Linked DNA regions of Ovis aries. The protein of the gene in region 1 interacts with the protein of each later gene in a pairwise test. Links are inferred from orthologs where the notes say so. Each region holds a gene or a part of one and is shown in the gene's direction. Other genes may lie near its edges.

What was found.
Region 2: the proteins of LNX1 (region 1) and METTL21A interact in binary tests that used the Homo sapiens proteins (3 or more experiments, as listed by UniProt). The link is inferred for Ovis aries from reciprocal best matches to the Homo sapiens genes LNX1 and METTL21A.
Region 3: the proteins of LNX1 (region 1) and CUTC interact in a two-hybrid assay, tested with the Homo sapiens proteins (3 studies listed by BioGRID and IntAct). The link is inferred for Ovis aries from reciprocal best matches to the Homo sapiens genes LNX1 and CUTC.
Region 4: the proteins of LNX1 (region 1) and NECAB2 interact in binary tests that used the Homo sapiens proteins (3 or more experiments, as listed by UniProt). The link is inferred for Ovis aries from reciprocal best matches to the Homo sapiens genes LNX1 and NECAB2.
Region 5: the proteins of LNX1 (region 1) and GDI1 interact in binary tests that used the Homo sapiens proteins (3 or more experiments, as listed by UniProt). The two-hybrid records come from large-scale screens. The link is inferred for Ovis aries from reciprocal best matches to the Homo sapiens genes LNX1 and GDI1.
Region 6: the proteins of LNX1 (region 1) and TSSK3 interact in binary tests that used the Homo sapiens proteins (3 or more experiments, as listed by UniProt). The link is inferred for Ovis aries from reciprocal best matches to the Homo sapiens genes LNX1 and TSSK3.
Region 7: the proteins of LNX1 (region 1) and RUFY4 interact in binary tests that used the Homo sapiens proteins (3 or more experiments, as listed by UniProt). The two-hybrid records come from large-scale screens. The link is inferred for Ovis aries from reciprocal best matches to the Homo sapiens genes LNX1 and RUFY4.

The regions. Positions count from the first base shown.
Region 1 is NC_056059.1:69,874,314-69,878,331, reverse strand, and holds the start of LNX1 (E3 ubiquitin-protein ligase LNX), read left to right. Parts: upstream 1-1,218; 5' UTR 1,219-1,513; intron 1,514-4,018.
Region 2 is NC_056055.1:209,711,281-209,715,481, reverse strand, and holds the start of METTL21A (protein N-lysine methyltransferase METTL21A), read left to right. Parts: upstream 1-1,401; 5' UTR 1,402-1,505; exon of another isoform or gene 1,506-1,665; intron 1,666-1,709; exon of another isoform or gene 1,710-1,815; 5' UTR 1,816-1,906; intron 1,907-2,327; 5' UTR 2,328-2,360; coding exon 2,361-2,507; intron 2,508-3,929; coding exon 3,930-4,041; intron 4,042-4,201. UniProt on the Homo sapiens protein: Protein-lysine methyltransferase that selectively trimethylates residues in heat shock protein 70 (HSP70) family members. Contributes to the in vivo trimethylation of Lys residues in HSPA1 and HSPA8.
Region 3 is NC_056075.1:20,477,539-20,481,736, forward strand, and holds the start of CUTC (copper homeostasis protein cutC homolog), read left to right. Parts: upstream 1-1,398; 5' UTR 1,399-1,512; coding exon 1,513-1,573; intron 1,574-4,198. Other genes in the region: cytochrome c oxidase assembly protein COX15 homolog, read right to left, coding at 1,122-1,211. UniProt on the Homo sapiens protein: May play a role in copper homeostasis. Can bind one Cu(1+) per subunit.
Region 4 is NC_056067.1:9,859,298-9,862,797, forward strand, and holds part of NECAB2 (N-terminal EF-hand calcium-binding protein 2), read left to right. Parts: intron 1-814; coding exon 815-951; intron 952-3,311; coding exon 3,312-3,430; intron 3,431-3,500. UniProt on the Homo sapiens protein: May act as a signaling scaffold protein that senses intracellular calcium.
Region 5 is NC_056080.1:80,001,185-80,005,254, reverse strand, and holds the start of GDI1 (rab GDP dissociation inhibitor alpha), read left to right. Parts: upstream 1-1,270; coding exon 1,271-1,315; intron 1,316-2,387; coding exon 2,388-2,495; intron 2,496-2,663; coding exon 2,664-2,763; intron 2,764-2,911; coding exon 2,912-3,046; intron 3,047-3,493; coding exon 3,494-3,692; intron 3,693-3,957; coding exon 3,958-4,070. UniProt on the Homo sapiens protein: Regulates the GDP/GTP exchange reaction of most Rab proteins by inhibiting the dissociation of GDP from them, and the subsequent binding of GTP to them. Promotes the dissociation of GDP-bound Rab proteins from the membrane and inhibits their activation.
Region 6 is NC_056055.1:235,204,024-235,208,177, reverse strand, and holds TSSK3 (testis-specific serine/threonine-protein kinase 3), read left to right. Parts: upstream 1-1,354; 5' UTR 1,355-1,451; coding exon 1,452-1,596; intron 1,597-2,434; coding exon 2,435-3,099; 3' UTR 3,100-4,011; downstream 4,012-4,154. Other genes in the region: protein FAM229A, read right to left, coding at 239-341, 516-662, 744-880. UniProt on the Homo sapiens protein: Serine/threonine protein kinase required for spermatid development and male fertility.
Region 7 is NC_056055.1:220,159,876-220,164,004, forward strand, and holds the start of RUFY4 (RUN and FYVE domain-containing protein 4), read left to right. Parts: upstream 1-1,329; 5' UTR 1,330-2,350; intron 2,351-3,529; exon of another isoform or gene 3,530-3,592; 5' UTR 3,593-3,635; coding exon 3,636-3,681; intron 3,682-3,769; coding exon 3,770-3,876; intron 3,877-4,129. Other genes in the region: TNS1 (tensin-1), read right to left, coding at 943-1,098. UniProt on the Homo sapiens protein: ARL8 effector that promotes the coupling of endolysosomes to dynein-dynactin for retrograde transport along microtubules. Acts by binding both GTP-bound ARL8 and dynein-dynactin.

The DNA.
Region 1 (4,018 bases):
TAGAGTCAAAACGACAAATTTGCGTGATCAGACCATAACTGAAGCACACACAGAGGCCAAGAGATTTACAGGGCCCTTCCTTCTGGGTCAGTCAGAATCACAGTGGAGAACTGGGTGAAAGCAGCCAGCAGCACCCCCTTGGAGAAGAAGAGAGGGTGCCGTGCTAGGTGAGTCCTATGTACGAGTCACATAAAGGTAGCATCACTTCGTAACTCCTGGAAGAGGTCATTTAACTAACCGATGAGCCGTGGTTCTGTTTAGAATTCTATTCCCAGGCCTAAGAGTTTGTTTAAGCAACTCTTTGGCCATCACAGGAGCTGTCAGCCCACCGAAGTGCTTAAGCTGACTGTTGGGAAAAGCAAGACTCAGAAGAGCATCCTTCCAGAAGGGCAATTTCTACATTTTTAACTAGTGGGGTCACTGTGCAGGAGTAACTTAATCTCTCCAATCCTTATTTTCTTCATCTACAAAATGGGAATGAGGATGATAGAATTATGTTGAGAATTAAATGAAATAACACAGGTTGAGGTCATTAGCACAGCACCTGGCAGATGATAAGCTCTCAATAAATGCTGGCAAAGATGATGCCACTGATGATGACCATGACATTGAAGAGTAAGTAGAAGAAAACTTTATTCAAACAATAATCTTGTATCTTTAGAGGATGTCTTGAAAGTCTTACCTGTGTCTTTAAAAGTCTCGGCTTGTGTCAGCCATAAACTTGCTCATTCTTTTCCTTTGGCTACAAACATTTGCCAGTGTTTGGTTACAAGAGATGCTGCCTATGGAAAAATCTTTGAAAGATTTGGCAAGGCATTGGAGCGAGTCAGGATTGCTTGATTGGTCCAACATAGATTTCACACTTCTGATAGAAATGCACACTTCTTTGCATATTTAAAATTTTTTAAATGCCTGGGGCAATTAAAAAATGCCTGGGGCCCCTTCAGGCAGCGGCCAGCTCCTGCCTCTTTAGAAAGTGATCCCAGCGTGATGATGTCCCAGCCTGGTGATGACCTGGAGGGGTAATGACCCTGTGTTTATTTCCTTGTTGATTTCCCTTCCCTGGCTCCAAGCTCATTTTCCCATTGCCTGCAGGAAAACAACATCCAGGGGTGCGGTAGGCCTGACTTGGCAGCCCTAAAGGTGAACAAAAGGACCCTGGCTCTGGCCAAGAGCAGAAGGAAGTTAGAGGGAGACTCAGCCCATCCAGACCAGAACAGACACATCGCTGATGCTCTTGAGTGGCTGCTCAGTGGTAGCCACTCTCCCTGGAAGCTCCCCAGAGGCTGCTCTCGGGGTTATGGCTCAGTTCTGTGCAGAGCCTGCAGCAGGGGCAGGGGATGCACTGATTGAGTCCAAGGTGGAGTGGATCTCATGCGTGTCTGGAAGACAGGGCACAGGAAAGAGAAGGGAAATTTTCCCAGGCTACTGCTGAGTCAGAAAAACTCAGTTCCCAAATGGACTTCACCCGGAGGCCTCACACAGCTGAAAACTGATCCGCAATGCAGCAAAGGTAAGCGGCCTGCCACCTCCAGAGGGTTGCGTCTCAGGCAATTGGAGAAAACTTTGTCCTGACTCTCCGAGCCCAGCCCCGACCCCACTCCTGCCATACACCACACACACACACACACACACACACACACAGAGGCACACAGGCACACACACACACTTGTTAAGGAGAACTTGTTAAGGGCACACACACACACACACATACACACACTTGTTAAGGAGAACCTAGAAATACTTTCAACACTCTAGAAAGGCCTCAGGACATTTACTGTCTTTATGTTCAAGGATACCACTTCCTTGACTTTCAAAAATAAAAACTACTTTTTGATTTCATTTTTCACTGGCCAAACTGGTCAGTTAAAATGTAAGTAATCCCATTAATGGTGACTGGGTTTCTATAACATTATTCTTTATCAGTATTCAAAACACATTCACGTGTTTTGTCCCATTTCTGTCGTAGACAATAGGCATTTCCGTTACTGTTTTACCCACAGAGGCACTTAGGTGCAGAGAAATTGTGACCTGCCCAGCAGTGTGTAGGAAAGTGACAGACAGCTCACCTTGTCTCCATTCCTGCCTCTTTCCAGTAGAATGGGGACTCTACTTTCTAAAGCAAATGACAGACTACCCTGTCTGTCGCATATTCCAGCAAATGGTCTGATGAGAGGATCCAGAAACGGAGAGTCACAGTATCCAGGACAATACCCCACTGTGTCGTGTATCCTTATTCACATCCATCCCTGGACACTGAAGCCAGTTCAACAGATATTGATAAGCGGTGGCCCCAGCGCCCAGTTCTGGGTCACACATCAGTGCAAGATGTAGACCCTATGCCCAGAGGGTGCTGAAGGAGGCAGAGTGGGGGCTGGGGGAGGGCTATGAGTGAGAAAGCTCTCCATGGGAGGGGAGCTTCACACTTGGGCTTAGCATGCTGAAGGAGCGGTTTCAGATCAGCACAGCCCTCGAGTAGGGAGGGAGTGTACATTTATAGCAAGACCACAGCAGCAGGGCAGGAGGAGAAGAGCACAGCCTGAAGAATTAGACCATCCAATGGTGAATCCTGGTTCCACCACCTACTAGCTCTGTTGTTGCTGTTGTTCAGCCACTAAGTCGTGTCCGACTGTTTGTGACCCCGTGGACTGCAGCACACCAGGCTTCCCTGTCCTTCACTATCTCCTGGAGTTTGCTCAAACTCAAGTGCATTGAGTCATTGATGCCATCCAACCATCTCATCCTCTGTTGCCCCCTTCTCCTCCTGTCTTTAATCTTTCCCAGCATCAGGGTCTTTTCCAATGAGTTGGCTCTTTGCATTAGGTGACCAAAGTATTGGAGCTTCAGCTTTATGTCTGGGCTAATTCAGGTAACACCTCTGACCTCAGTTTTTTGACATGTAAAATGGGAACAATCGGTGATACCTACCTTAAGGAGTTGTTTTAAAGTATAAATGAGATAACACGTATGAAGTCCTGACTGGCGCACGTGTTCAATACATGCTAACTGGCTCCATGGGAGATGCCAGAGATAAAGATAAGAGGAGCCCTACCCTCAATTTGATCACAAGATCATGAGTCCCTTGTGTGCCACTATCAATGTATGCAGTGTGGTAAGGGCTGTGGGATCGCAGAGGAGGGATCCACTCAGTCTGGGAGATTCTGGATGGAGGTTTTGGGCAGCCTGTTGGGGGAGGTGGGGAGAAGTTACACAGCAGAGGCCATGTGTAGGAAGGTGGCAGAGAACAGAATTGCACTGATTTGATGTTGAACACTGACTTCATCCTCCCCTAGATGCCTCCACCTGTTAGGCTGCTGGGACTGCCGTAACAGTACCACAGCCTGCATGGCTTGAACAACAGAAATGTATTTTGTCGTCGTTCTGGAGCCCGAAGTCCAACATCAGGGTGAGGCCATTCACCTTGGCTTGCAGCTGGCCACCTTTTTGCTGTGTCCTCATGTGGTCATTCCTCTTTAAGGAGAGCGTCTCTCTCTGTATGTCCAAATTTCATCTTCTTAAGAGAGCCAGTCATTAGTTGGATTAGAGTCTACCCTCAAGGCCTGTCTTTAACTCAGTCACCTCTCTCAGGGCCCTATCTCCAAATCCAGCCACATTCTGAGACATGGGACTTCAGCATATGAATTTGGGGGGATACAATTCAACCCATAATGTTGAGGCTGTTACTAAGTCTTCCCAAGCCTTACTTCCTTATTTATAAGATGGGGACAATTTACTTAACAAGGAGAACCATTGGAATGATTATAAAAAGAACCTGTGAAGCATCTATCCCAGTTTCTGACCCTTAGAAGGTACACAGTAGTCAGTGGTGGTTACTATCAGTACTTTAGGCCAAGTCTCAAAAGAACATGGGGTCCCCTGCACAATCCATGTTCCAGATGGACATTGGAGAACTGGCCCTTAGGTATCCTGCAGACTTTTGGACAAGGCAAGGGGCATTCAGTGCTTCCACTTCCTTGGTTCTGGCAGAAAGCCCATCATCAGATAAGTCAAGTGGCTG
Region 2 (4,201 bases), on another chromosome or scaffold:
ACCAGATGCCACACTCTGAGCAGCTTTCGTCTCAAGAACGGGTGCCCCCAGGGCAGGTGCGCTGACCTTTCGGCCGGGGAAGGAAGGAGACAGGATCCCGGCTGACGGCGCTAGCAACAACCCCGGCCAGGGTGCCGCGTGCGGGCTCCGAGAAGGGCTTTGTCGCGTTTCCCACTGCGCAGCCACGGAGCACGCGAATTCACTAACTCGGACTTCACCTGGGTGAGATGGTGAATGGGTGATGGGTGGTGGATGGCTGACCACGTATTCTTAGGGGCGAATTTTCTCCTACACCCGCTAACTGACCACCCTTAAAACTAAAAACCCGCAAGCGCACAAATTTTAAGACCACACACACACACAAAAGCGCGAGCGCGAGAACTAGCACACAGACTGGCAGGCAGACCCGCCGCCTCTCCAGTGCCAGGCGGGTGGCTTCGCGGTCCCCGGCCGCGGTGGCACCCATGCCCTCCGCGCCCCCGCTTCTGCAGCGGTGTATATCCAGTAGTGTAGTAGTGTTAGTCACTTAGTCGTGCCCGACTCTTTGTGACCCCAAGGACTATAGCCCGCCAGGCGCTTCTGTCCATGGAATTCTCCAGGCAAGAATACTGGAGTGGGTTGGCATTTCCTTCTCCCATCCTGATGGTAGTGGACACTGAAAACATTTAGGCATAAAGTGTTGGCTAGCATAGCTCACCAGTAGAATGAGATCACCTGTTTGTTGGCTCTCAGCACCGCCCTCAGTGTGGCGATCTGCTCCCGTTTGGTGCTCAGTAGGGACTTGAACCTGAGGATCTCTTTCATTAGGGCTTTCTTGTCTTTATCGATCACGGGGTCTGCAGCTCCTTGACGAGACAGTTGCAAGGACCGGTCCACGGCTTTCTGCAGATGTTTGATTTAGTCCCGGAGCATGGCATTAAGGTTGTAGATATTCATTGGTTCTTTGCGAATGTCACTTGTATCTAATACTGGAGATGATGGCGGGGCAGTAATAACAGAGGGTATCGTAAAGCGGAATAATCATACTGTTAATGCCTAGTATTTAAGTTCAGGATCGAGTCCGCCCAGTTTAAGTTCAGGATCGAGCCTGCAGTGGTCGTTATAGAACTCCCCGATTTAGACAGCGTGGATCCCCACGAGCTCCACCCTCGGCGGCCAGAGAAACTGACTTGCGGGTGCGGATACCTTGCGGACACACGCAGCGGGAACCCCGCCCCGCCCCCGCCTCCGCCCCGCCATCCCCGCGCTGGTCCCCACTGCACCCGCCGCTCCGCGTCGCTGGCGCTCGGGGATCGCGTGTTCTGGGAGGGCGGGGGACCGGAAACGGGTGGCCCAGCGCCGGCCACCCGCCCCCTCCCGGCCCGGCGCGGCGGTCTACCCGGGCTCTGGCCCTTTAAAGCCGGTCATTTCCGCCGGCGACCTTGGGGGCGGGGAGAGCAGCGCGCGCGCCTCGCGAGGCCGTCTCCGGAGCCGTAAGTAGAGGCCAGGCCGTGCCGCGGGCCCCAGTGCGTGGCCCGCCGGGCTCCCGGGGCGCTGGCCGCGCCCCCGGCGGGGAGGTTCCGGCGCTCCCGGGGCGGGGTGAGGCCGGGCCGAGCGGGCGGCCCCTCTCCAGGCTCCCGCCCCTACGCCGCAGCTGCCCGTAGCCCCGGGGCCCGGCGGAAGGACGTGCGTCTCTGTCCGCCGCCCCTGTTTGGGGTTGGGGGGCGGGCGACTCCGGGGAGGGCTCCCAGCCGCGGAGGGGGGCGACTCCATGCCGGACCCAGGGTCCCGCTCCCCGCGAGAGATTCAGAATGCCCGAGTGTCTTTCACTTTCAGTCTCCAGGAAATGGATCTGCGTAGACCGTGTATATCCAGCCGGTACCATAAACCAGGATAATCACAACGTTAACCCCAGGTTGAAGTTCAGGTTCGAGTCCGTGGTGGTCCCCATTGAACTCACCGAGCGAGAGGGAGCGAGGGGAGACCAACACAAAACAATAGATGCCCCGCCGACCGCGGCGGGTTGCAAGCCGCCGTCCACGCGGGCCCAGGCGGTTTAGAAAGCGCTACTTTCTCCGCGTCCTGAGCTGTCACCTCCACTTCGCTCACTCATCGCGCTGCGAATTCACTGAGTGGTTACCGCTGAGGGTATAGGGCATCCAGCACCTTTGGCTTGAGTTCAGAGCGAAATCTCACTTCCCAGGAGGGCCGTGCAAAAGGGATTAGAGACTTCGCCTCAACTCTTTCTTCTTTTGAACTTGTAACAATTGGCTTTGAGCATTTGGAGCTACTAAAGAGGTCGTGCATTTTCTACCTAGAGCCTCACTCAAGATTCTTTTGCCCTACAGCTTGGAGGGAGCAGAGAGCTGGCCGGGGGCGAGATGGCCCTGGTGCCCTATGTGGAGACCGCGGAGATGGGGCTGCAGAGATTCCACAAGCCTCTGGCCACCTTCTCCTTTGCAAACCACACGATACAGATCCGTCAGGACTGGAAGCAACTGGGAGTCGCAGCGGTGGTTTGGGACGCGGTAAGTGATCGCCGGACGTCTCTGAAAATATCAGCAATTGATGATAAGAGTGCTCTTATTTTTGAAAAGTTAACAGCTTTGTTGGGTTGTAATTTATATACTGTACTTTGCAGTTTAAGTTTTTTTTTTTAAAGTAAATTCACAAAGTGGTGCAAGTACCACTATGCTCAGTTTTAAAACATTGCATCACCACACCCCATCCCCAGAAAACCTCTACCCATTAGATCATTTTCCTGCACCCCACCTCACCAAACAGATTGCATTTTAAGGGTGAGTAAAGAAAGCTGAGAGAAATCAAATGACTTGCCACTGGAGTCCCTAGCTGCTTTGGACACTAGTTTAACACTGCACAAAGGAAATGTAACTGACAAAGCCCCACAGGAGGATCATGTGTTTTCTTTAAGTTTTCCATAGTTGTCATGATCAAAAAACGACACTATAATGGTTACTTTTTCCTCTCCCCAGCCTTGTTCTTTCAACTGCTTGTAGCAGACTTGCCCTCAGCCTCTAGCCACACCTGGGATTCAGTGGGAACTCAGGATTCAGCCAATGCTGGATAAATGATTGGCATAGATACAGTTTTACAATCTTAACATTGTATTGGGGGTGTCAGAAACATTCAGGGATACAAAATATTGATATATCTGTAACCCAGTAGTACTACTTCTAGGAATCTAGTCCAAGGTAACAAGAAAAGTTTTCTCAGAAAGAGTAATAAAGATACAGAATAGTGAGGAATGGATGAGTCTCCTTCATTCTCACTGAGAAGAGGAATTGCTTGGTATACTAATAGTATGTGGCCATGAAAAATTAAAGTGATGTTAAGAGCATACATTGATTTTTAGAGTTGTTTGCAAATGCTAACTCACATATCAAGTCCAACCCTTCATCTGAAACTTACCCCTTGATGTCCGGTCGCTGTGGGGTGATGAGTGTTAGGGGCTCAGGAGAGCAGGAGAGAGGGATGCAGCTCCGAGAGACTTGGTGGGGCTCTGCTTGTCCCCTTTGGTTGTGGCCTTGCTGATTTGAACTCGGTTTAGGAACTGGACATTCCTTAAGCCAAATCACAGAGACTGTTCATGTCAGCTCTGCCAGAATGGGTTTGTAAACCTTGAGTGTCAGAGTGCTGTGACACAGAAGTTAACCTTCCCAGATTCAGCAGGACCCGGCCTTGGATGGGCAGAATCACTGACTGCCCCAAGGGCCTCTGGTGGGGCTGGGGGCAGCTGGGCCGTGGGACTTGGTATCCATGTTTGCTCTAGGTGACCCTACCAGCAGCAGCTGAGTTCCCATGGGTGCTGTTAACCTGGGAGTTGAGCTTTGCAGTGGGAGGGGGTGTGTGGTAACTTCCTGGAGCATGGAGCCTGCTGGAAATCCTAAAGCGCTTATTGACCTTAACTGTCATACTGTGTTTTGACTCAGGCTGTCGTTCTTGCCACGTATCTGGAGATGGGCACTGTGGAACTCAGGGGCTGCTCTGCTGTGGAGCTGGGTGCTGGCACAGGGCTGGTGGGCATAGTGGCTGCCCTGCTGGGTGAGTGTGACGCAGGGCTCCCTCCTGTGTGAGTGGAGGGGTCGCCTTTTCATGACGCAAACCCATTGTCAGTTTCCCTCTTACTGGGTTACTGTCCTTCTCCTTGTACTTATTATGAGTCACAGGCCACAACTGCTATGCTCACAACTCCAGGAAGGCT
Region 3 (4,198 bases), on another chromosome or scaffold:
ATCAAGACAGACAAATTACAACTGGAGAAAGAAGAAAAGGCTTCACTCCACTGCTACTCACACAGTCTCATTGTGTCTGGTATGAAGTACCCTGGTCATATTTCCACTGCTACTGTCCAGGTAAAACATCATCTCTTATCTGGGCTGCATCTACCCCCAACTGGTTTGCCTGCCTCCAATCCATCCCCACACTACATGAACCTTCTGTCTCTCATATTTCTCCCAGACTTAACTCTACACCTAAATATGGATTAAATAAGGATTATTTCCTTTCTTTTATATGATTTTTCTCTAACTGGGGTTCTACTTGTCCCCTGACTGACCTATCACAGATCTCAGCTGGGATGTCACCTCCTCTAGGAAGTATTCCCAGACGCCCCTACATATGTGCTGGGTCACTCTCCCAGCACACTATACCTGTCCATCACACAGCAATGTATCATTTAGTACACAGAGGTTGTCTCTACCTCCCACTAAGCTATGAGCTATAGGACAGCAGTGTCTGGTCAGTCTGGCTTCTACAAACTTCGTTTCATACACAGTTCCTTTACACAACAAGACCTTAATAAAGATTTGACAAATGAGTTACAAACAAATGAACTGTGACTTCCTCTAGGGCAGGAGACTTGATATTTTATCTTGCTTCCCTGACTCAGGGATCAAATCTGAGTCTCCTGACTCTTCTGCATTGGCAGGTGTATTCTTTACCACTGAGCCACCTGCGAAGCCCAGTTAACTAAGTAACTTTAGACAAATTAAGCCTCAAGTTACTTCTCTGTAGAATGGAGTTACAATCCCTAACCTGACTACCCAGTAGCTTTGAGCAGAAATCAAACATATGGGTAAAAATCACTGAGCTTTTACTATGTGCTAAACCTCTGTGTATACTAACACAACACTTATGAAGTGCTATTATTCCCATTTTGCAGACGAGTACATTGAGGCTCAACTTGGCTAAGAGCACACAGCTAGTAAGTGGTGGGTCCGGATCCGGACTCAGGAGCCCTAGACACAGTGAAATGCCTTGTGAACTTCAAGGAGCTAGAGAAACGTGATATGTGAGGATATCTCTTGCCCCTTTCACCCCATGCTCGCCTGCGCGACTCGGTGCTCTGCCCTACCTGTGTTCCAGGCGCCACCCTAGGAACCAGAAGCCGGAGACACGGGCTCCCCAGCAAGGCCGTCAAGGGCGTAAAGAGTAATCGCTGCATGCTATAAACAGTGCCCAACGGCCACCTTCAAACTCCTGCGCTCTCTGGTCTCCTTTCTCCGCACCGACTGAAGAAGCACTTCCGGGTCACACAAACGAGCTCCTCCTCTTCGGAAGGTCGGAGCGAGCAGTGACTGCGCCTGCGCCAGTTTCTGGGCTTTCGCGGGGGCTGCTGGGGCGTGGACGTCGGGGACGCGCCGGGATGCGCGCAGCTGGGAGGACGCGCCTGTCTGGTCGCGCGCGTTGGAACCCGGACTCTTTGAGTGGAAACCGAAGAAGCACGAGGGACGAACGCGTGGAGCATGAAGAGGCAGGGGGCCTCCTCCGAGCGGAAGCGGGCGCGGATACCATCCGGGAAGGCGGGTGCGGAAGGTGGCGGGGTGGGGCGGTGGCCGACTTTGCCGCGGGGTGCGGGTCGGGCCGGGTCGGGCGGGGGTTCTGGCCCGTGGATTAATCGCGATTTCCCTGGAAGTACTTTCTCCTGCTCCTCACAAACACCCCACTGTGAGGCGTAATCTGTTATTCGGCTTTAAACATGTGAAATCTGAGGGGCTGATGGCGAGAGTGGCCCGGCTCTGGAGCCAGATAGGTGTGTAGGTTCGAATCCCGGCGCCCCCACCTCTCGTCGTGCGACCGTGTTCAAATTGGTTAACTTTCAGCCTCGCGTTTCCCATTGCCACACGAGGATACTGGTACCCTCTCACGGCAGCGCTGGATCAGTGTTTGACCTGGAGGGACCGCTTAATAACCTATAGCTGCTGCGGCGGGGATAGGGGTTGTCCCTAAAGCCACACCGCTCCGAAGTGGCTAAGCTTGGCTGCCCCAAGCTGCAACAGGATCGGCTGGCATGGCAGGTGCTAGGGAATTTGCCAGGTCCCTCCTCCGGAAACTTGGTTCCTCCAAACTAGCTGTTCTGAAACTTTGATCGCAGGACGCCTTAACTCTCCTAAAATTATTGAGAACCTCAAAGACCTTTTATTTATATAGGTTAAATTTATTGATATTGGACATGTTAGAAATTAAAACAGGACTTTTAAAAAGAAAGGGCTTCCCTTGTGGTTCAGCAGGTAAAGAATCCTCCTGCAATGCGAGAGACCTGGGTTCGACACCTGGGTTGGGAAGATCCCCTGGCAAAGGGAACGGCTACCCACTCCGGTATTCTGGCCTGGATAAGTCCATGGGGGTCGCAAAGCGTCAGATAACGACTGAGCGACTTTCTTTCACAAACAAAAGCCCATTACATGTTGAAACTTTATGAAAAAAAAAAAATCACTATTTTCCTAAGCAAACAAAAAATAGAATAGTACCAAATGTTTTATATTTTTGCAGATCTCTTTAATGTCTGGCGTAATGGAATTCTCATTAGGAATGGAGTGCTTTTGCATTCAGTGTGACAGGTAGCCTCTCGAAAACTCCACTCTGCCTGTGAAAGAATGAGAGTGAAAAAGGCAACTAAAATCTTGGTATTGTTACTAAAATAATTTTCACTGTACAGACTCTGAAAGTGTCTTAGAGGCCCCTAGTCCAGACTTAACTGGACAGCTACACTGAGAACTGCTGCTCCAAACAAATCTCTTTGATCCCTTCAAATAACTTCCTATTTTAGGACAACTGCCTTACTCTTTTCTTTTTGTCATAGCCTTTTATGTGCATCCTTACTCTCTTCTGGCCAAGATCTTTTTTTTTTTTTTTTGGCCACAGCCTGCAGCTTATGGGATTTTAGTCTCCTAACCAGGGATCCAACTTGAGGCCCTGGCGTTGAAAGCCCAGAGTCTCAACCACTGGTACATGCTCAGTCGCTCAATGGTGTCTGACCCTATCCACTCCATGGGCTGTGCCCCACCAGGCTCCTCTGTCCATGGGATTTCCTGGCAAGAATACTGGTGTGGGTTGCCATTTCCTATTGTGGGGATCTTCCCTACCCAGGGATTGAACCCACATCTTCTGCATTGGCAGGCGGATTTTTTTACCACTGAGCCTCCTGGGAAGCCCCTTAACTACTGGACTGCTGGGGAATTCCCGCCAAGATCTTGTCTTCTGTGAGGGAAATGGTACCCCTACAGCACTGTTCAGTTAGATTGATCTAACAGCTGATGTGGGTGAACTGTCAGGAAACCCATGGAATTAATGCTGTGCTCTTGGCTAAGAGCATAGCCAACATTTGGCCCTTGCAGAGTTTGAGGCTGATAGTCTCTTAAATAAATGAGACATTTGCAGTTTGGTGTTAGGGAATGATAGATTTTTGTTTTTCAAATTGAAAGTTGATTTTAAAAAACTATAAAAGCAGCATTAGGTAAACAAACAAACAAACAAGCAGTAAAGTAAAAAGAAGAAAGTAAAAGTAATTTTAAATACTACCACCTAGAAGTAACAATTACCAGCATATGCTGAACATTCCTCTAGATATTATTGCATGAAGTATGCATTCATTATTCTTAAGTTTTTTAAGAAAAGTATGTGCTTACAGAAAACATTCAAAACTGTTTTCATCACACTCTTTAGTGTAAATACATGAATGTTTATGAATTTATAATCATTCAGTTCAGTTCACTGGCTTAGTTGTGTCTGACTCTGCAACCACATGGACTGCAGCACGCTAGACTTCCCTGTCTAGCACCGACTCCCTGAGCTTGCTCAAACTCATATCCATTGAGTCAGTGATGCCATCCAACCATCTCATCCTCTGTCATCCCCTTCTCCTGCCTTCAGTCTTTCACCATCAGGGTCTTTTCAAATGAGTCAGTTCTTTGCATCAGGTGGTCAAAGTACTGGAGCTTCAGCTTCAGCATCAGTCCTTCCAATGAATATTCAGGACTGCTTTCCTTTAGGATTGACTGGTTGGATCTCCTTGCAGTCCAAGGAACTCTCAGGAGTCTTCTCCAACACCACAGTTCAAAAGCATCAATTTTTGGCACTTAGCTTTCTTTATGGTCCAACTCTCACATCCATGTCATCATTCAGCCTTTAGTAAATTTTTGTGTGTCTATT
Region 4 (3,500 bases), on another chromosome or scaffold:
GGATGCTGTGATCTTAGGTTTTTGAATGAGTTTTAAACCAGTTTTTTCACTCTCCTCTTTCACCTTCGGTAAGAGACTCTTTAGTTCCTCTTCACTTTCTGCCACTAGAGTGGTATCATCTGCATACCTAAGGTGGTTGATGTTTGTCCCCACAGTCTTGATTCCAGGTTGTGATTCATCTGGCCTGGCATTTTGCATGATGTACTCTGCATACAAGTTAAATAAGCAGGGTGGCAGGTTAAATAAATTAAATATACAGCCTTGAAGTACTCCTCTCCCAATTGTGAACCAGTCTGTTGTTCCATGTTTGGTTCTAGCTGTTGCTTTTTGACCTGGATGTAGGAGTCCTCAGGGTTTTCTGTATAGGGTATCATGTTGTCTGCATAGAGTGACCGCTTTACCCCTTCCCTTCCATTTTGGATACCTTTTCTTTTCCTGGTCTGGTGGCTGTGGCTAGACTTCCAATACTATGCTGAACAGAAGTGGCCACCAGCGTCGTCACTAGAACCACCAGCGCCACCACCATCGCCTTCGCCAGCACTGTCGTCACTGTTACCATCTTCATCAGAGCAGCTACCGTTCACAGAGCGTTTGCTATGTGATAGGCACAGTGCTGAGCATTTCATTCACCTTCTGCCTTTCCGTCCTCAATGCAGTATTGTAGACACTGTGATTTCTGTTGTGGCTCAAACCTTGGGCTCTGAGTCCATAGCCCCTGCCTTCCTGCAGGAGCCCTGGGAGGGTGACCCCAAGTCGGTGTATCAGATCCCTCGTCAACCCCTTTCCCTCTGTGCCCCCTCCCTTCCCTCCACAGGTGTACGAGGGCGGGAGCAACGTGGACCAGTTTGTGACGCGCTTCCTCCTGAAGGAGACGGCCAATCAGATCCAGTCCCTGCTGAGCTCGGTGGAGAGCGCGGTGGAGGCCATCGAAGAGCAGACCAGCCAGATCCGGTGCGTGGATGGGAGTGAGCTGTGCCAGCCTGCTGCGTGGCGGGGATGGGCGTGTGCCTGGGGGCTGGGCAGCCTTGGGCGAGCTGCTGCCTCTCTCCTGCCTCCACTTCCCCACCTGTTAAGTGGGGACAGTTGTATACCTACCTTGTCATGTTGTTGTTGTTGATCTGAAACTGCTCCACTGTTGGGCTCATTTTTTAAAACTGGGGAATTGGGAAACTGCAGTGGTTATTACCATCATTGGAAAACAAGTTATCTCAGGCTGTGAATGAAAAATACCATGACTGTAAAAATAAGCCCTGTTGGTGACCCCTCGACCTGCTCCCTGCTTGTTTCGAGGCTGTGAGATGGTAGATGGGCATTGAAAACACCGTACCATCAAATCACCACCTCAGAAAGACTGAACAGCAGTGAAATGGAGTGGTTTTTCTCCTGAGGTTAGTTAGTATTATTTAAGGCCTTGTTTGCGGGTCCTTGAGAACATGGAAAACACCTGGGGTCCCCCCTTTTTGGGGCAATGAGCCTGGGGTCCGGAGAGGAGTAGTCTCCTTCCGGCTGGCAGGCCCAGCCCCCAGGGGCCACGTGGGGGGCATTTGCTGTCCCAAGTTCAGACCAGCTCTTCTGTGCTCTTCCTTCCCTGAATAGCTGACGTGCCTGAGGCAAAGCAGAAGTAAAGACACATTAACAGGGGCTTCCCTGGGGGTCCAGTGGCTACAACTCTGCGCTCCCAATGCAGGGGGGCCCAGGTTCGATCTCTGGTCAGGAAACTAGATCCCACATGCCACAACTAAGACCCGGTGAAGCCAAATAAATATTTTTTTTAAGCCATAGGAACAGCTGGGCGCACCTGCCAGGTGCCTGAGCTTACTGAGCCTGGCGTCTCCTGGCACGGCAGGATGCTGCTCCTAGGTGGGGGTTCGTCCCAACCCACTGTGGTTGCAGAGGTGCTCGGTGATGCTGTTCACAAAACGTGTTTGCTCTGAGGGCCTGCAGCCCAGTCCCCTGGGAAATGCAGGACGCAGAGTCCTGGGCCCTGGTGACACCATCTGGGATTGGGGTCCCTGGGAGCCAAGCCCTAGACTCTGCATCCGTGATCAGTCTCGTGATTCAGAGGGTCTCCAAGGTTAAGGGGATTTCCTATCACATAGATTTCCTTCATCCTTTATCATCACTATCTTGATTAAAAAACCTGCAGCTTCCTTTCTGTCACAGATCAGATGGAGCGCTGCACTTATTAGAGCTGATTCCCTGCGCTTTGCCTTCCCCCAACAAGTCAGCCGTCCCCCCACGAGTCAGCTGTCCCCCCACGTGTCAGCCATTACACCTGTCTCCCTCCCCAAATCTCACGTAGGGATGATGGGAACATACATCTGCTTCCTGCGCATCCCCACCTCTCAGTCCCCAAACCTCAGCTGTCTCAGCTCTCAGCTGCAGGGCCCCCAGCCACCCTGGTTCCCAGCCCTGGGGACGGCATGACCTGCATTCGAGCCAGCAGCCTGTCCCTGGGGGACCCCCGCTGCACCCATTCACAGTCCGCGGGCCATGTTTCATTTGCTGCTGGTTTGTAGAGGTCCCAGGACCGACACCCCCAAGACTCTGCCAGCCTTTCTCCTCCCCGGGGATTGGGGGTGGTCAGCCCCTCGGCACAGAGGGAGAGGATGCTGGGCTTTCAGGTTCACAGGAGGCAGATTCCAGAGCGAGCGGCGGCCACGCTGGGCACCAGGCGTATCGGCCGTGCACACGGGCGTGTGTGTTTGTGTGTCCGCAGTGACTTTTCTAGTATTTTTGCACATGGGGGTTTGGGCATTTCTTGGGTCCCTACTGCATGCCAGGCACAGCGTTTGGTGAGCTGCGTGTCAGGGGTCCTGGTCTCTGCACATCAGTGTGCGTGGCGGGTGGGGTGGGGCCAGGCTGAGCCAGGATCATGGATTTTTGTCCTGTTAGATGCCCGCTCTCAACTGAGTCCTACGGCTTCTTTTCTTGGAGAGGGGGCTTGTTAGCAAACCCAGGCCCCGACCCCAGAGGCCTCTAAACACAGGACCAGGAGGCAGGCAGGGTGGGCAAGGGACAGCTGTGAGCCGCAGGGAGGTGGGGGCCTGGCTCAGCCTCGTAGGCCCTGGAACCTGGAACGGAACCTCCCAGGCACAGGGTCTGGGTTCCCAGAAAGGATCTGAGTTCAGATCCCAGCCCCACCCGCGGGCAGCCGCCTCTGTGAGACAGCGGCCACTGTGTGCAGCTCAGGGGATGGGGCTCCCAGGAGTTCTGTGCACGTTTCAGCCCCACAGTTGGTCAGAGCGGCTCCGAGCAGTCAGGGCCCTGCAGCCCCCGTCACGGGGTGCATCCGCCTACCCCCTCTGCAGACAGAACAACAGCCGGCCCAGCCACAGCGCAGTGGAGACCTGGTCCGGGAGTCCCACTCCCCCCTACGCCCCTAACCACAAGCTCATGGCTGCGGAGCAAGGAAAGAGCTTCCCGCCTGGTGAGAGAGCGGTGGCCTGGGGTCGGGGGCACTGGCTGGGGGGTCCCGGGAGGACTTCTGAGAGTGGTCC
Region 5 (4,070 bases), on another chromosome or scaffold:
CTTGTCAGGCTACCTGTTCAGCCTGCTGAGGGTCTTCCCTAGGCTGCCCACTCCCCACCACATCTCTCTCCACAAGGTGTATATATTTCTGCATAGACAGTAGACAGATCTCCCAGGCTTGATCATTATAAAGGTAGGGGCCATCAGTTCTACAAAATCCACCCCCCTTCTCCTTATTTATTCTGATTTCTCCACCTTCGCTGCTTGCTGTTGATAGTGCTTTTGTGTAGCCAGTCCTCTCTTCCCAGGCTCTATGGGGTTCCTTGTAGCAGCCAGGAGCTGTTCCATTCCCTGAGTTTGGGGGGGAGTGTGGAAGTACTATTTGTCTGTCCCGCTTAGCTGGCGTTATTATTTTATTTTTTGGTGATGTGCTAACAATAAGACGTACACTGGGGTTTATTCCTTTGGCCTAAGAAGGAAGGGATCTACATGGCAGGTGGGATGGGTGTGATCACGGGGTTTGGGACCTGTTCCTGTCGGGAGTACCTGGCAGGAGCCCTGGGGTGCTCGTGGTTTCCTTCCGAATAAAATAAAGACGGGTCGCCATGCTTGGGCTTCTTGTCACTCATTTCTGCGCTGGGCACAAGGAAGGGAGGATGCACTTGGCTGACGGCCGAGAGAGGAGGCCCGAGGATGGAGGGATGGAGGCTGCTTTTCCAGGGACCAAGCGGAGGCCGAGAGGGTTGTTTGCTAGCTGGGTTTCCCCCGGCCCCCGCCTCAGCGACTAGGGGAGGGCGGGGGCCGTCAGCGCCCGGGAGAGGGAGGCGGGGGAGACGGCCACGACAATAGTCGCCCCCACGTCCCTAGGGGCCCGCCTCGGGCTGCTGCAGCAGCGCGCGCCCAGCCGGCGGGGCCGCGCCGAGCTTCCCGGGGCGGGGCGCGCGCGGCTCCTGCGCACGGATCCCTGGCGGACCTCAGCACCGTCTGCCAGGCCGCGCCGCCCCGCCCCGCCCCGCCCCGCCCCGCCCCGCCCCGCCTCACCGCCCTCTTTTCTAGGCCCTCGGCAAAGCGGCGCGGCCCGCCGAGTGGCGCGAGTGCTAGAGCCCGGGCTCCAGCAACCCTCCCCGGGAGGCAAGCGGGGACAGCAGGGGCCCCCGGTCGGCGCGGCGGCGGAGGGGAGGGGCCGGGACTCTTTGACGTGGCGGAGGGGTTGAGCGGCACGGTTGAGCCGCCATCTTTGGTCCACTGCGGCGGCGGCGGCGGCTGCGGCGGCGGCGGCGGCTGTGGCGGAGGAGGAGGAGCCGACGGGCGCTGACACCGAGGCCTGACCATGGACGAGGAATACGATGTGATCGTGCTGGGAACCGGACTCACCGTAAGTGCGGCCGCCGGTGTCCAGGGCGCCGCCTGTCCTCCTCCCTGGGATGCTGCAGCCCCCGGCCCCATCCTCCCATCAGTGCCTGCGCGGCGCTGTTCGGTCCCCGAAAAGATAGCCCCGTCCCCAACCACCGTGACGCGGCCTCCATCCCTGTCATGGCCGGTCTGCCAAGAAGCGGCCCCTTTTCTGGCTGTCTCTCTTGACCGATTCCCCGGGCCCGACCCCCAGCCCCTACCCAGGACCAACTTAACATCCCTTCTCATTTTGCGCTCATTCTGACGGGGATGTCGTGGTACAGGGACCTCCAGTCAGATCGGGGCGGGGGGACTTCCCAGGGTGGGCTTTCATCCTGCCTTCCCAGGTTCTTAGGGGGCCCGAGGACCCAGGGAATGTTCCAGAAGGAGCCGTGGTGGGGACCGTGACCACATTCCCACTACCCCACCCCGGTTTCCCATGGAGACCTCGGGGCTGAGGCGCATTTGCAGCCTTTGTCCTTGGGCTGGTGACAGTGACTGGTGAGGTTGTTTGCCCTCCCCCGAACCCTGTTGGACTGCTGCCCTGAGAGATGCCTCCCCAACAGTCGGGTGTGGAAGCCCCTACTGTGACGGGGAAAGCTCAGGGTCAGGGGTTCCTCTTTGAGGAAAGTGGCCCAGGGTGGGGCCTGGGATTTCGGCACCATGCTAAGCCTTTACTTCCTTTTCGGGTCCTTTGCTTGTCCAGCTAGGCGATCCCTGTGTTTTATTTGCCTTTTTGTGGGCTTCTACGTCGATAGATGATTTTCTTGGCATCTTGGTTGCTTGAAGACCATCCATGTGTCTGCTGGATACCCTCTTCCTTGTTCACCTTTTTGCCCAGCAAGGTTTTAAAAGGAAACCATGGTCAAATGAAGGTGTCCCCCCCCCCCCCCAATTTCAGGCAGAGCGACCAGCCACAGGTGCAAGGAGCTGTGTGTTGAGGCAGAGGCCCTTCAGGTTGACTCTCCCCTCAGGGTTGGAGTGGGGAACATGGTCAGGGCTGCTTGTGGGAATGTGGGCAGATGGGAGTGCAGTGAACATTGCCCCTCACTCAGGAATGTATCCTGTCGGGTATCATGTCTGTGAACGGGAAGAAGGTGCTGCACATGGACCGGAACCCCTACTATGGGGGTGAGAGCTCCTCCATCACCCCCCTGGAGGAGGTAGGCTGCTCTGGGCCCAGGCCTGTCCCTCGTTAACCTCTTGCATGGGGTGCTGAATGAAGCAGCTCCCCAGGTTTTCTGGGTGGGGGGCGGGGGCAGGGGCGGGAGTGGGAGGGGGTTCCTTGAGATGCATCTTTCTGTCTCTCTTTTCCCTTCTGCTGCCTGCAGCTGTATAAGCGTTTTCAGTTGCTGGAGGGGCCCCCTGAGACAATGGGCCGGGGCCGAGACTGGAACGTTGACTTGATCCCCAAATTCCTCATGGCCAATGGTGAGGGAGACGGAGGAGGTATTGTGGGAGGCGGGGTGATTGGGACGAGCAGAGAAGGGTCAGACTGCAGACCAGGGACAGACAGACCAGCTTGAGCTTGTGAAGGGAGCCATGCTGACTGTGTTGCCTTTCCCACACCGCCCTGCAGGGCAGCTTGTGAAGATGCTACTGTATACAGAGGTGACACGCTACCTGGACTTCAAGGTGGTGGAGGGCAGCTTTGTCTACAAGGGGGGCAAGATCTACAAAGTACCATCTACCGAGACTGAAGCCTTGGCTTCCAGTGAGTGTGGGTCCCATGAGCCAGGGAATCGGGGTGGGGGAAGGGGGGATAGCTATCAAGAGCAGGATGGCCCTTGCTGCAGGCCATGTTTCTTGTGCAGTACCAAAAGCCCCTTGCTCTATCATCCCCCTGTGTGCACCCACTGGTTGCCAGGAGAGGTGTCCAAGTGCGAAGGGAATATGGTGTCCTGGACAGAGGCTTCACCTGATCAGTGAAACATCCCCAAGTGTCAGAGCTGGGAATGCTCTCAGAGGCTGTCCAGCCAGACTCACTCTTGGTACAGTTGAGAAAACAGGCCAATGAGCACAGAGGGGTTAATTGAAAATCACACAGTGGTCAGCAAGAGAACTCTGCTGGGAGTTAGGGCACCGGCTTGCTCTGCCTGCCTGGCAGGTGGAGAGGGTCACGGCCCGTACCTCAGTGGTGCTTTGCATGTGGCCCTCACAGACCTGATGGGCATGTTTGAGAAACGGCGCTTCCGCAAGTTCCTGGTGTTCGTGGCAAACTTTGATGAGAACGACCCCAAGACCTTTGAGGGTGTCGACCCCCAGAACACCAGCATGCGTGACGTCTACCGGAAGTTCGACTTGGGGCAGGATGTCATTGACTTCACTGGCCATGCCCTAGCGCTCTACCGCACTGATGAGTGAGGGGAAACTGGCATGGCAGATGACCCTTCAGCCGGCCCACACCCTGCCCTCCCACTCCTGCCTGCTGCTCCCTTGGCTCACCCTGCCTACCTCCCATACTCAGCTCCGGGCTCACTCACCTGTCGCCTTTTCTGTCCCTTCCTTGTGTTTGACCAATGGTCTTTCCCAGGCCTGCAAGGGTGGGAAGGCTGGCCTGATGCCAGGGTGGGGGTGCACTGGGCCTTCTGCTCTTGGAGCCTCTTCTGACCCTATTTCTCCCAGCTACCTGGACCAGCCATGTCTCGAGACCATCAACCGCATCAAGTTGTACAGCGAATCCCTGGCTCGGTATGGAAAGAGCCCGTATCTGTACCCACTCTATGGCCTTGGCGAGC
Region 6 (4,154 bases), on another chromosome or scaffold:
AGGTGATATTGGATGGGGCGGAGCAGCCGGCGGGCCCGAGCCGACGGGATAAGACAGACACGGCCAGCCGGAGTGGAAAGAACAGTTTATGCTGTGATTTATTAAAATGTGCATCATTCTTTTATTTTAAAATGTGCATCATTGTCTCGTGCTCGGCGCGCGCGCGACCTCAGCGTGGTGGCCCGCGGCGGGCCCCGTCCCCGCCCGGCTCCCGCGGAGCCGCCTTGCGCAGGCGCGCTCAGGTGGCGCGGGCCCGGGGGCTCCCGCCCATGGCCAGGTAGACGTCGATGGGCACGTGCAGCAGCGTCAGGCAGTGGCAGCCGGGGCAGCGTCGAAGCGGCCTGCGGAAAGCGGGGCGCGACGGGGGGCGTTGAGGGGGCGGCCGGCCCCATCCTGTAGGGGGCGCATCAGTCCCAGGGGTTCGGCCGCGGGTGCGGGTTGGTCTGGGGACGGAAAGCCGGCAGGGGTGGGGCCGCGGGCAGGGGCGGGGCCGCGGGCAGGGGCGCTGGCCTCACCTGACCGGGTTGTGCTCCGTAGCTACCGGCTCCGGGCTGTCCTGGGACTCGGGGGCGGCGGCAAGGCCAGGGGAGTCTCCGGCCTCAATGGGGAATCTCCGACCCTGCGGGGGCTCCTGGGCACTCATGTCCAGGCCCCGGGGCGCTCTGCGCGGGGAGTGGCGGTCAGGCCGCTCCCGGGCGGCCGGGAGCCCCCTCCCCGCGCCCGCCCCCCGGGCCGTTGCTCACCTGCCGGAGGCCGAGGCCGGTCCCAGGCTGGAAGCAGCTGCCCGAGCCCTGGCCGCGGGAGGACGCTCCGGTCCAGGCGGAGCCGGGCAGGTGTCTGCGGCGCGTCCCGGCCCAGGCGTCGAGGGGACGGGCTGCATTGTGACCCGGGCCGCGGCGCGCTGACCTCACAGAACCCGTTCCTCCAGCCGGGGAACCCCGCGCCGCCCGGGCACTTAGCGCGGTGGCGAGCCGGGAGCTGGAGGGCTCTGGCCATGGGTCGCGCAGACCCCCTGCTGCCCGATGGGGGCGTCCACGGAACAGAGCCTGGCATCCCGGGCCGAGCGCAGACATCGCAGCAACCCCTACAGGCGGGGCTACGACCCACTGCCTGGCGCGGGGGCGGGGCACGGAGGTGACTTAACCCATGCTGGGTTTTGCGGTGGTAGTGGTGGTGGTGGTGAGGGCAGATAGGGGCATTGCCCATTTTGGCCCAGGGTCACACAGCATTTACATCACAATTGGGCCAGAGTTTTAAAATGTCTGACCCTCTCCCTCCCCACCATCCGCGGCTCCTGTGTCCGGACGGAGAATGTTGTAGCGCTGGGGGCGGCTGCGGATGAAGTCCTTGGGGGGAAAAGAAGCGGGCCGAGGGCGATGGTGGAGTAGCGCTGCCTCGCAGAGGCAGCATGAGCTGAGAGGGTGATAGGAAGGAAGGAGGTGCTAGACAGCATGGAGGACTTTCTGCTCTCCAATGGGTACCAGCTGGGCAAGACCATTGGGGAAGGGACCTACTCAAAAGTCAAAGAAGCAGTTTCCAAAAAACACCAAAGAAAAGTGGCAATTAAAATTATAGACAAGATGGGAGGGCCAGAAGGTGAGCTGGGGCCCCTTTGGAGGAAGGGAGGGCTGGCTGAGGTGGGTGGGTGCTTCCTCCAGTCAGAAGGATCAATTCCCTCCTCCCCTTTAGTCTTAAACTAAAGAAAGCAAGAGAGGCTGTGGCTCTGGGGTCAGTCAGTGGGGAACAGAGAAAGTCTAGGAAAATCACACCTTCTGAAAGTCCAAAATGAATGTGGCAGGCAGTGAGTGAAGTCGCTCAGTCGTGTTCGACTCTTTGAGACCCCTTGGCCTGTAGCCTGCCAGGCTCCTCTGTCCATGGGATTTTCCAGGCAATAGTACTGGAGTGGATTGCCATGGCAGGCAGTGAAGGACCCTCAGAAGCAGAGTCAGAGCCTACTACGCCTTTCTTATTCTAGGAGGTCAACTGATTGGTCAGGCCATGGCCAGGGCTAGCAGAGGGCAGGAACCGATGCAAGGGAGAGAGATGGGGAAAAGACAGGGCTCATGGAAAGAACGGCAGCTCAGGGGGCACAGGTGAGAGGGGCTAGCTTACCACGCTGTGGGCAGATCAGGCCTCATAACTGAGTTCAATAGATTTGTCTAAAAGTTCCCACAGGACTTTGCTATCCATGGTCTCACAGGCTGCTCACAACAGTCCCTGAGGCTGACGGACTAGTTCCTTTGAATAATATATTAACTACAAAGACAGAAGTGAACGCTCTGCAGTGTCCAGGCGGTTTGACACTGAAGGCTGTTAAAGGGAACCAAGGCCCACAACCCAGACATGGTGGGCAGACAGAAGTTGGAAGACAGAGAGACAGAGGGAGGAGTTAGGCTCTTCTGGACTTGACTCTCCATCTCTTTTGTTTCCTTAGAGTTTATCCAGAGATTCCTGCCTCGGGAGCTCCAGATTGTCCGTACCCTGGACCACAAGAACATCATCCAAGTGTATGAGATGCTGGAGTCTGCCGACGGGAAAATCTACCTGGTGATGGAGCTGGCTGAAGGAGGGGATGTCTTTGACTGTGTGCTGAATGGGGGGCCACTGCCTGAGAGCCGGGCCAAGGCCCTCTTCCGTCAGATGGTCGAGGCCATCCGCTACTGCCACGGCTGTGGTGTGGCCCACCGGGACCTCAAGTGTGAGAACGCCTTGTTGCAGGGCTTCAGCCTGAAGCTGACAGACTTTGGCTTTGCCAAGGTGTTGCCCAAATCGCGCCGGGAGTTGAGCCAGACCTTCTGCGGCAGCACCGCCTATGCCGCCCCCGAAGTGCTGCAGGGTATCCCGCATGACAGCACGAAGGGTGACATCTGGAGCATGGGCGTGGTCCTGCACGTCATGCTCTGTGCCAGCCTGCCTTTTGACGACACAGACATCCCCAAGATGCTGTGGCAGCAGCAGAAGGGGGTGTCCTTCCCCACTCATCTGGGCATCTCGGCTGAATGCCAGGACTTGCTCAAGCGGCTCCTGGAACCAGACATGACTCTCCGGCCTTCAATTGAAGAAGTTAGTTGGCATCCATGGCTAGCAAGCACTTCATAAAAGCAATGGCAAGTCCTCCCCAATAAAGTAGGGGGAGAAAGCAAACCCAAAAACCCGCTTCTAAGATGGTGATATCTATATTTTACACTTTAAGTCTACTTATCCTAAACTTACCTACACCCTCCCCAGCTTTACTTCTCTTTCCCTTTAAAGATCTTCATGGAACCAGAGGGCCTCATTCAGACTTCCCTTTTATTATGGCTGACAAGTGATTTTCATACAGGTGTTTAACTAAAGTTACTTAAAAATAGACCCCAGAATCATACACATACAGGGGGAGGAGAGAAAAATAACCAAGAACAGTTGGAACCACTGTTGTTGCACCTTCCTTTCCAAATAAAAGCAGAAGCGTTGGGAATGCAGAAACGGCCTCTTGACTCCTTGTCTTGGTGAGAGGCCTTCTGGGGGCCCTGTCCCTTCCTCACCCCAAAGGCCAAGGTGAGTCTGGGATGAAGACAAGGGACCTCCTTGGAACGCAGGCTACTACCTCCCATCCTGACCCCTCCCCCAGGCTCCAAGCAGGAGGGCACCCTGCACACCCTGTCTTGCCCTGGCTCTGGGGCAGCTGCTGTAAGGGACAAGAACAGAGCTCCAGACACCTTCCAGCTTCTGTTGAATCTCTTTAATAGCTGTTAACGGCAAGTCTGGAAAAGGTTCAGGACAAAGTTCTTTTTTCTTTCTTTTTTAATTACAAAACTAACAGCTGTTAGAGTCTTTTTTTTTTTTTTTTCCTTTTTTCTTATCCCAGCTACAAAATACTCTGGGGAGATACATTATAATTTAAAATATATAATATTGCACAAACAACCAAAAGGTTAATTAAACTAAAGAAATAATTACAAAGAGAAAAATCCTATCCCATGAAAAAAAAAAAAAAAAAAGATTCAGCATTCTCTCCATCCCACCCCCTCATTGAAGGTTTGAAGTGGAAGTGACCACCACTCTCTTGGCGTCCCTGACCACGATCCCTTTAAATCATTGGTGAACACACCAGATTATGTACAAGAATCACCGGAGCAGCATCGTGAAGCACCAGGGTCTCCAGGGATTCCTGT
Region 7 (4,129 bases), on another chromosome or scaffold:
GATCTGTGACCTGGAGGGGCATCCAGTCAAGTGAGGCAGAGGAGTCACTTCGGTGCACACACACACACATGTGCACATGTACACACCTGGCCTCGCTGGTTGCCTCAAAAAAGGGGGATAAGGGAGCAGGGACTACCCACACCATACATTCTGAGTTGCCCAAACTCTGTGACCCCTAGGTGGAGGGACAAAAGACACCAGCATAATCCAAACCCCATACAGCAAATGAAACTTAGGAGGCTGCAGCCTTCAAAACAGGGAGGTAGACTGGGATTGTGCGGGAAGCCTACAGCAAGGTTGTCTAGTCCCCGGTGACCCCAAGTATCCCTCCTCCTCCTTGGAGAAATCCAGTGCCCACACCTACACCAAGCTTGCTAGTTCAGGGGACAGAGGCCTCATCCAGGACAAACACCTGCTTCCCTGCACTGGCCTATTCTCACCTACCTGGGTCAGCTTCCCATTTGCAAGGCTCTAAGACTTACCCAGAACAGAGAGTGCAGAGGTGAGAGTCCAGCTCCCCCACCATCTCATGTCAGTCCTGGCTCTAACTAGACCCTCCCTGACTCAGAAGGCCCCCTCGCTCCTGACTATGGAGCCCTGGTCAGAGACAACAGTCCAGCTACAGGTGGGGACACACAGTCAACTGCTGGACTAGCTCGGGGAAAATTCATTCTTTCAGTGCCTTTCCCAGCAAGCCCAGCCCTGCCTCTCTTGGGTGGCTCCTAAAATCTCGCCTGAACTTTTTGCCCTTTTAAGGGTCAGGTCCTACATCACCCTTCTCCCGGGGTCACAAGACAGCCAGAGGAGACCTAACACGCTGCCCCCTCCCCTGGTCGGGGCTCCAGCGCGCCCTCACCCACGTTGGGTGCTTTCCCCGCGGGGCTTTTTACCTGTCTCAGCTGAGCCAGGCTGTGCCCGCCACCTATCCGCACAGCGCCCTACCTGAAGCAGCAGCCGCCTGCTCTGGGCTCGGACTGAGCCCGGGGGCTCTCGGTACTCCCACGGCGCGGGGGCCGGGGGGCTCCCCGGGGGCTGGGGGCCGCAGCGGGGCCCGGGCTCCAGCGCCTCGCAGCACACCAAGCTCACCGTGCAGCCCATCCGGCCGGGCGCCCGCCCGCCGCTCTCCCTGGCCACCGCTCGGCCCAGGGCGTCGGGAGGGGACCAGCGACGCCCCCAGCCCGTCCCCGCCCGGAGCCTCCTTGGCCCGCAGTGCCAGGAAGCGGGGGAGCGCGGGGCCGGGCGAGGGGCGGTGACACCGGCGCCCGGACGCAGCCAGTGAGGAGGGAGACCCGAGGGCGCGGTGGCGCGGGGAGGGGCACGCGGGGTCTCGGGACCCGGGCGGCAGACCCGCCGGGAGAGAGACAGCGCGGGCGGGCGCGACGGGAGAGGCAGGAAGCAGATAAGGAGAGAGAATCAGGGAGAGACGGGGACACGGGGGACGGAGAGGGGGGACGCAGCCTCTGCACGCGGGAGACCAAGTCCCGAAGAAGAGACCGGCAGGAAGTCCCCACCGAAGGACGGAGCCGAGCTTGGGTACCGCGTGCGCGCCAGGGCTTACGCGCGGCTCCTAGGGCGGGGGTGGGTAAAGTGGGTTGTCCTCGCAGGGGCCTGCTGCTCTGTTCCCTGCGCTCAGTACTGGCTGCTGGGGACCCCACGGGGGAAGAACCCCAGCCTCAGGGAGGCAGAGCCCTAGCCAGGGTGGGAGAGTCCCAGCCCACCTGGGCAATCCACCCAGCCCGTTCCTGGATACAGCCTTTCACGAGTGCTTTCACTTTCGACGTTTCTGGGGTGATTCCCAGAACTGGGGAGATGGCACCGGTGGTCAGCAGTAACGGGGAAGAGAAGGGAGACATGTGGTGGGACCCTTGTTCTCTCCCCACCTGTACCACACTCAAAGTGACAGTGAAGACCGGCGGCGATCTTGGGGGCAGCATCGTAGCCTCTTTGTGCCACCTGGTGGCGATAAGGAAGAAAGACAAGAGCAAGTGACCTTGATGAGAAGCGGAAAGAACGTGCAAAGCACTCGCAAAGCAGCAGTTGCCTCTACCTCTGGGTCCCCATCTCTGCTGGGCCAACTAGTGAATCTGCCCCTGTTCTGCCTAAGAGGAACCGTCTCCCATCTCAGCATCTGCCCTGGTGCCCTGCCTCTACCACTTCTCTCCTGTGTACAGTCTTCCGTTCCTCCTGCTCTGACCAATATTTCCCCTTCCTCCAGGGTGCTGGACTGGGCATGAGTCACTTCCCAGGCAGCAAACTCTGGGAGAGGCTGTACAGAGCGCTCAGTCACAGATAACAGGCTGAGGCTGCAGTGCTCCAGCTTTCCATGCCCCAAAGAGCCAGGCCTTTCCGGGTGAGTAGCAAGGAGACCCCTGGGTCTCGGGGTGGTCGGATAAAGGGAGTGATGCCAGGAGCAAGGGCAGAGGAATCCTGGATAGAAATGAGGAAGAGGAGGCGGTCCAGCTAGGTGTTGGTGGATTCCAGAGACCATCTGGGCTAAAAGGAGCTGCAGAGACCCTCCATCCAACCCCTTGGTCTACAGGTGGGGACATCCAGGCCCATGAAAAGTGAAGGATGTGCCCGAGGTCACACAGTGAGCTCGCAGCAGTGCCAGGTTGGAGGAGCAGGGCTCTTGATTCTCAGCACCGTGCTCCCTGAATACCATCCCCTGAGCCTCCCTCACCTTCCCTTCGCTTCGTTTTCCCTTCCCCTTCTCTGCGTCCCAGCGCTCCTTCACTCCCACTCACCCCCAAATTCCAGCCACCACAGCGTGAGAGGCCGGACACCTGGCTTTCCCACCCTGTGCCTGCCTTTACTTCAGGCTCAAAGAATAAGCCCATGGGCCCTAGGGGCCACGTCTTTCCTTTCTGAGCCCCAGGATCCACTGTGTGTGGGGAAAACAGGCTGAGATTCCCTGGGGAGAGAGCAGCAGGATTAAAACCCTGCTCCTCACACCCCACACCCCAGCATTCTAGCCCAACCCCCCACTCTGTGGCCTTGCCTTGCTTCTGCCTCCTGCCTCCTTTTCCTCAAAGAACATACATTTTCCACTCAGCTGGGGCCCAGGAAAGGATGAATGTGTGTCCCAAGGATGATGACTGTTCGGGCAAGGCCCCCTGTGGGGAACAGGACCTCACCCCCTCAGCCCAGCGTCCACATGGCTTGCACACATGAGCCCTTAGGACTGCTCATGGTCAGTCAGGGTTGAGGGCATGGGCTCTGCAGGCACAGGGACCTGAGTTCAAATTCTAGCTTCATCCCTTAGAGTTTGGTGACTTTGGATAGAACACCCTGTCTGAGCCCCCCTCTCCTTGTATAAAATGGAGTTGATAACCTCCCAGGGTTACTGTGGGGACTGAATGAGACAAGGGTGTCAGGCAAGGGCACAGTACTTCCCTCCCAGGAACAGCTCCCTGGGAGGGTGGGGAAACCCCACCATCCTCCTCCTGCCTTGCCCCGAAAGAAGGAGCTGGGGTTTTCTCCTACCAGTGGACTCGCCGTGTGACCCCAGAGACGTCACATTGTTCTTTAGGCTCTGATTCTTCCTTTGTATGAGGAGAGCGCTGGGCAGCTGTAACCGGAGGCTCTTTCCCAGGCCGGTATTCTAGACCATAAGGAATCACGTCCCTCAGATACTCATGGCCAAAGAAGGAGCTGTCCTCAAGATGACCAGGGACCTGAAGGGTGAGTGTGTCCAGAGAGAGCCCTGGGACGGCACTTGGGGAGAGCCCCACTCCTCTCTGAAGTCTGACGTCCACTGTCTTCCCCACAGCTGCTGTCTCTGCCATCCTTCAAGGCTACGGGGCTGGGCGGCAGCCGGTGACAGATGCCAGTGCTGAGCTGCACAGACTCTGTGGCTGCCTGGAACTTCTGCTGCAGGTAGGTCCTCCCCTCGCCGTCTCTCCCATCTCTCCAGGTCCCAATAACCAGTAACCGAATGGGCTTTCCCAGGCGTTGAAGGAAGAGCCCCTGCCACTCTTGTTACCACACTCTACCCCGTCTCTGTGACTGTGCATGCACCCTCAGTCGTGTCTGACTCTTTGCGACCCTAAGGACTATAGCCCACCAGGCTCCTCTGTCGATGGGATTCTCCAGGCAAGAATATTGGAGTGGGTTGCCATTTCCTACTCCA